Linked DNA regions of Xenopus tropicalis. The protein of the gene in region 2 interacts with the protein of the main gene of each other region in a biochemical or structural test. Links are inferred from orthologs where the notes say so. Each region holds a gene or a part of one and is shown on either strand. Other genes may lie near its edges.

Region 1 (3,829 bases), on a different chromosome or scaffold from region 2:
GCCCCCAATAAGGGGTAATTATATCTTAGTTGGGATCAAGTACAGGTACTGTTTTATTATTACAGAGAAAAGGGAATCATTTAACATGAAATAAACCCAATAGGGCTGTTCTGCCCCCAATAAGGGGTAATTATATCTTAGTTGGGATCAAGTACAGGTACTGTTTTATTATTACAGAGAAAAGGGAATCATTTAACCATGAAATAAACCCAATAGGGCTGTTCTGCCCCCAATAAGGGGTAATTATATCTTATTTGGGATCAAGTACAGGTACTGTTTTATTATTACAGAGAAAAAGAAAGGATTATTTGATTTAAATGGAGTCTACGGGAAATTACCTTCCCATAATTTCAAGCATTCTGGAAACCGGTTTCCAGATAACAGATCCTATACCTGTACAATAATGAACCTCTGCTGCACTACAAACTCCTTTTTTTGCTTCCCCCTTAATTGCTAATCTGTGTGTGGCCCTTGCCTACCTGCCTGCCTTTCCGTCACCAACATAACAATCTGTGCTAGTACTGCTTGCAAGATTAGCCTTTCAGCCCCCCCCAGTGCTGGAGTAGATCTTTTGTGCAGAAAAATTAAGCAGGGAGGCATAAATCATCAAGTAACGGGTATAAACTAAAAGCACCAGTAAAAAAAAGAGCAGTACAGAGAGTTTTCAGAAAGGAGTTTTTGTGTATTCATGAGAAGTAGTAAAACACAATAACGTTACCAATGGCCATAAAGATTTCATTCACATTCATTGCGGTTTTAGCAGAGGTCTCCATAAAGAGCAGGCTGTTGTCATCAGCGTATGCCTGAGCTTCCTGCAAATGGAACATTCCATGGTGAGCAAAATAAACCAAGGTATCAGTTAGAAGCAATATATCTGGAACACAATAGATCACTGGGAAAACCAGCAGAGGGGAGCTGACATTTAGTACTGAGATAGATAAATATGCCGGCACAGGAAACATCTGGAGGGATCCATGGAGCCAGCTATTGGGAATTATAACAGCACTGCTCTAAAGGCCCCCGTACACGGGCCAATAGTAGGTGCCGATATGGGTCCCTTAGACAGATTCTGCAGCTAATCGGCCCGTGTATGGGCACTACCGACGGGCACTACCGACGGGCCTACACACCTGTAGGTGGTGATATCGTGAGAAGATCCGCTGGCTTGGCGATCTGCCAGTGTACGGGGACCTTTACACTAGCCAATTGGTTGAGCTGGGAGAGTGCACTAGAGGAGACTGGATGAGCTACAGGCAATGTGACAGCCTTACCTATACGTTGCTAGGGTGAGCTCCACTAAGCAGGGATGAGTCTTCTGCCCATAGTGCAGGCACAGGGAAGGAGCACAGAAGGGCAGTAGTTCAAGGGGCAGACAATGAGGAGAGCACTATGGGCTGGGGTAAGATGCACGGGAATATATATAAATAACAGAGTCAGGCCGGGCAGTGCCATGCATGGACTTGGGATTGACTACAGAATTTCAAAGGAACAGCTCTGTGTAAAAATGAAACGGGGTAAAATAGACAGTCTGTGCAAAATAAAAAATATTTTCAATATAGTTAGGCAAAAATGTAATCTATAAAGGCTGGAGTGGGCAGATGTCTAACATAATAGCCAGAACACTACTTCCTGCTTTCAGCTCTCTAACCTCTTAGTTAGTTAGTGACTTTAGGCGGGGCCATATGGGACATAAGTGTTCAGTTAGTTTGTGAGCACACGGGTCACATTCAAATGCAAACTGACAGTTATGTCCCATGTGGCCCCCCCCTAAAGTCACTGACTGACTAAGAGGTTAGAGAGCTGAAAGCAGGAAGTAGTGTTCTGGCTATTATGTTAGACATCTGCCCACTCCAGCCTTTATAGATTACATTTTTGCCTAACTAACTATACTGAAAACATTTTTTATTTTTCTCTCTCTTACAAAAGTAAATATATTTTAAAAAGTGTACTTTTCACCTTTACATTAACTTTTAGTATGACACAGAGAGTGCTATTTTGAAACAATTTGCAATTGGTCTTCATTTTTTTTTATTATTGATTTTTTTTTAGTTATTTTAATTTTGTTCTGCAATTCTCCAGCTTGGAATTTCAGCAGTTATCTGGCTGCTAGGATCCAATTTACCTTAGTAACAAGGGAGTGATTTGAGAGATTGACCGATATTTGAATAGGAGAGGGGCTGAATAGAAAAATAAGTAATAGAAAGTAACAATATTAATAAAACTGGAGCCTCACAGAGCAATAGTTTTGGCTGCCGGGGTCAGTGACCCCCATTTGAAAGCTGCAAAGAGGCAGAACAGGAAGGCGAATAATGCAAAAACTATAAATGATAAAAAATGAAGACTAATTGAAAAGTTGCTTACAATTAGCCAATCTATAACATATTAAACGTTAAAGGTGAACCAAACCATTAGTATGATATTTCTTAAAAACAAACAAGCTCACCTGAAAATCCACAGCTCTCTTACTGGAGAGGTCGGCTTTGTTCCCAGATAAGGCAATGACAATGTTGGGACTTGCCTGACGCTGAAGTTCTTTTACCCAGTTTTTTGCTCTTGCAAATGTTTCCTACAGAACAAAGTACAGAGCTTTAAAAGAAATTCATAGAGAAAAGTGTTGTACTGAGAACATTCACCTTGAAAATAACTTTTACTAAGATGTAGACGTTGATATTCTCAGACAATTTGCAATTGGTCTTTATTTTTTTTGTAGTTTGTCAGTCGTTTAGCAACCGGATAGCTGCTGAAATTACAAACTGGAGAGCCGCTGAACTGAAAGTTCAGCGGCTCTCCAGTTTGGAATTTCAGCAGCTACCCAGTTGCTAGAGTCTTGTTTACCTTAGCAACCAGGCAGTGGGTGTGAATGAGAGACTGGAATATGAATAGAGGAGGGACTAAATAAAAAGATAAGGAATACAAAGTAATAATTCAAATACAATTGTAAGAAGAAGGTTTTTTTGGCTGCTGGGGGTCAGTGACCCCCCCCCCCCCCCCATGTGGAAAGATGTAGACAAAGAAGGCAAATAATAAAAACTATAAAAAAGAAATAATGAAGACCAATTGCAAAGTTGCTAGGAATAGTACATTCTGTAACATATTAAAATTGCCTTAATTGCTATCTTCTTTTATTATTAAAACCTTCAAAATGTCAAATTTTTCTTGAAAACTGAAATTTGAAAATAGCTTTTTTTTTTTTTAATACAAATTGAACATTTAGGTCTCTTTCTGTAAAATCTGAAATTTTGCAAAAATTCAAGTGTTTTTTTTTCCATGAAACTGAAAAAAAGCAGTATAAAAAAACCTCAAAATCATAAATCTGTCGTATAATGTCAAGAATAAATATTTACCATTGAGGGGGAAAAAAAGTGGAAAGTTGCTTGAGTCACTGCCTTTTGTACTTTGTACTAAAAATTTATCCAAAAAAGTGCTGGTACTAGAGAGCCTTCCCATTGGCTGCTTTCCCAGTCTGTGACAAGAGAGCCAGCAGCAGGACCTTCCCCGCGTGGAGGCAGATCTGTGATTGGCTGCTCTCTGGAGAGGGGCAATTAGGACAAGGACTGAGCAGAGAGATAGGGCATTATTTCATGTAATGTGCACTTACTGTATTGGTGATGTCATAAACTACAATGGCTGCCTGGGCTCCTCGGTAGTACATGGGGGCCAAACTGTGATACCTCTCCTGCCCTGCCGTGTCCCAGATCTCAAACTTCACCGTTGTATCATCCAAACATAAGGTCTGTGTTAGAAAGGCAGCTGGAGATAGAAGTACATAATATTATTGTTATTATTATATACATATTAGCACTATTATGATTGTGTGAGGGTAATGTTG
Region 2 (3,184 bases):
GCACTCACTCACTTGATGGAAACCTGATCTCTTTTCCCTGCTGTTAGCTCGCATTAGTATATAACACAGGAATATGAATGTTAAAATGACAATCCATATTTTATCCATATCCAGATAAAGCACAACCAAGCACTCAGTAGGAAGTGGACAGAGGACCACGAAGTGCAGAACTGCATGTCATGTGGCAGAGGATTTTCTGTAACAATAAGAAGGGTATGTGAAATGATAGCTACTATATTTCAGATATGTTCAAAGCTATGTGCACTTTTCATGAGTTTACCGAGTGTGTCCCAGCTTGGCAAAAGAGTACATAGCAGCCCAGCTATTTCTTTGCAATGCTGCATTCTGCTTTCCATTCCATTTTAGATTGCAGGCCTTTGGATCCAGCGCTGTGTTAGTCATGCGCATATTTTAGCCACACAAGGTAGAGAGTGGCAGGATACAGAGCCTGCCTGGGGACCTTTGCTGGCACTGCCTTTTGCACTGATTGCCAGAATTTTTTATCCGGCACTCAGAGCCTACTGCTGGCTGGGTTATGGACTTTATCCTTTTAGCATAAAAATGTCACATTGAGTTGCAGTAAATCTAATCTTATTTTGTCTTTTCATTTGCAGCACCACTGTAGACAGTGTGGAAATATCTTCTGTCATGAATGTTCCTCGAAGAATGCCTTAACGCCCTCCTCCAAAAAAGCTGTGCGTGTTTGTGATACATGTTTTGGTGACCTGCAAGGATAGGAGCCACTCCCTCAATAGATACCTGCAAATTACACATAGTATTTTTGTTAATGCACTTCATAAAGCACTCAAAGTACTTATTTCTTTGGATGAAGATTGATTGTAACCTTTGGCACCACAGTATACCTTTGGAAATATTTTATTGATACAAAGTCAGATAATTGTATTTTTCATGACAACATGAGGCCAGTTGATGGTCTTTATCCTGCCTTTAGCTTTCAGTCAAGATTTTTTAAATGTGTTTTTAGTTTGTTTGGTTTGGCTGCCTGTAAATAGTAGGCTAACAAAGAGGCAACTGCGTATTTTTATACATAATTTCAGAGTATACCAGGAAATCAGTCCAATAGTTTACTAATATTTGGGTTCGGTGGGAATAATAATCTGGCTCTCATGGTTTATACCTTTCTTTTATTAGGGGCAGCGACTTGCCACTGTTTCTATTGTTCCTTTCCTATTGCCATTGTGCCCCGCTCTTGTATTTTGGTTGTTGTTCTCCTTGTGGCTTGTGTCACACATGGAGAATATCTGTATTCTAACACAAGATCCATTCTTTCCTGTAGGATCCTAATAGTCTATTTGCTGTACAAAACACAATGAGAAAATGCTGTTCACTAAACTCCCTGTGTGACCTAAGCCCTTGCCTCCACTGCTGCACAAAGCTGTACAAAAACGTTCACCTTCCTAGAAGCTAAACCCTATTGAGATATTCTTAGAACTGTTATATAGCACCAAACAGAGCTGGAAGAAGGCCTTTTGTTTGTAATAAAATGAAAGCCCAAAATGAATCCTGCAGCTGTATTTGCTCAGTGTCCCAGCCATGGGAAGTGAAAGCATCGTTTAAGCAGGTACCATCATTGCGGCTAGGATGAAACTATGTTATTGGCCTTTTAAAGTGACACTGATACATCCAGATTTATACACGAGTGTGTTTCTTCCGGATGCTTGCTAGCACTAATGTAACCTGTTAAACTAACACCTTCCCTTACCTGTAGCCAATCCCAGTTATTTTTGTCTATTAATCTACAACACCTTTTCAGTGATCGCTGCTGCAGCAGTAATATCCTTGGTGGTTGGGCAATAGTGATGTGTGGGCCGACAAAAAGCTGACCCTAACCTGTGTCAAACCTGTATCTACCTCTGTTTATAGACCCACGCCAACCCACGACATCTCTGATGTCATAAAGAGGGTGGGATGAAGCTGGTATGCGCCTATAAATAGAGGCTACAGTAGGTGGAAGTGGGGTTTAGTAAGTTCACGGCTGTGGAGGGAAGAAGGTAAAGTTTGGACTGAACGTGCCGATGACCAGCAAGTCTTGTGCACATGTGGGGCTAAAGGGGGGGGGTGGGAGTCAAGGAATGTGTCACTGTCACTTTAAATAGACAACTCCTGCTCAAAAGTTAGTGGACTGTTGCTCTTTATGTTAAAACTGAACAAGAGCTAAAGATACTGCTGCATTGTAACCCCAAGAGCCATGTTTGGAATATTTCATGGGTCTGCAAATGCAACTCTGAGCAAATTGTTCTTCCTTTTGAAACTACTGTTCATTTTTCATATAGGCTTCACACTGTCCCTGTTTGTTCTCGTCAGCATTTTAACTGACAATAGTAAACACGAATATTAATTTTACATACTGGCTCATGCGAAATGCTAAACCACTTTAGTAGCTTCACGTGTGAGAGTTGAATGCTGTTAGTATTTTATTAGTAGATTTGGAAGATTGTCTTAATCCTGTGTTATTCAGTATGTGTACAATGATCATCATTTTTAGAACTGTATTTTCTACAGAACAATAAAACTGGTTCAGTTCATCTTCTGCAGAAAGAACGGCACAGTGAGGCACGTTAAAGCTAATGCCTGCTCGAAACCTGATCCAGATATGATACAGGCATGGGATGTATTATCCAGAGACCCGTTATCCACAAAGATCCAAATTATTGGAAGGCCATCGCCCATAGAAACCATTTTAATTAAACATTTGAAATTTTAAAAAATGATTTCCTTTATCTCTGTATTAATAAATCAGTACTTGATCCTAACTAAGATATAATTTATCCTTATTAGAGGCAAAGACAATCCTATTGGGTTTATTTAATGTTTTAATAATCTTTTAGCAGACTTAAGGTATGGAGAGCCAAATTACGGAAAATTCCCTTCTCCAGAAAACCCCAGCTTACGAGTATTCTGGATAACAGGTCCCATACCTGTACAAGGCAGGGTGCAAGGTTTGTAGGTTTTACTGAAGGCTGTTGTCTTTGTACTGAGCTCTATTTGGAGGCATGTAGGTACTTAGTTGTGACTAGTAAACATGAAAGGCTGATAGACTGAGGCTGACAGACTCATGCTGCTCTGTATTTTGCAGAATTAAGACAACTGTGTGGAGGTGGTGATTTGGAATATTGCACTAAGAATTAGAAAGAGGCCTACCTTTTTATTGCATGAAGCTGTT

What was found.
Region 1: the proteins of eea1 (region 2) and rab5c form a complex in vitro, tested with the Homo sapiens proteins (2 studies listed by BioGRID and IntAct, with this or other methods). The link is inferred for Xenopus tropicalis from reciprocal best matches to the Homo sapiens genes EEA1 and RAB5C.

The regions. Positions count from the first base shown.
Region 1 is NC_030686.2:6,904,635-6,908,463, reverse strand, and holds part of rab5c (ras-related protein Rab-5C), read right to left. Parts: intron 3,751-3,829; coding exon 3,599-3,750; intron 2,567-3,598; coding exon 2,444-2,566; intron 813-2,443; coding exon 719-812; intron 1-718. UniProt on the Homo sapiens protein: The small GTPases Rab are key regulators of intracellular membrane trafficking, from the formation of transport vesicles to their fusion with membranes.
Region 2 is NC_030679.2:55,861,577-55,864,760, reverse strand, and holds the end of eea1 (early endosome antigen 1), read left to right. Parts: intron 1-114; coding exon 115-213; intron 214-614; coding exon 615-737; 3' UTR 738-2,508; downstream 2,509-3,184. UniProt on the Homo sapiens protein: Binds phospholipid vesicles containing phosphatidylinositol 3-phosphate and participates in endosomal trafficking.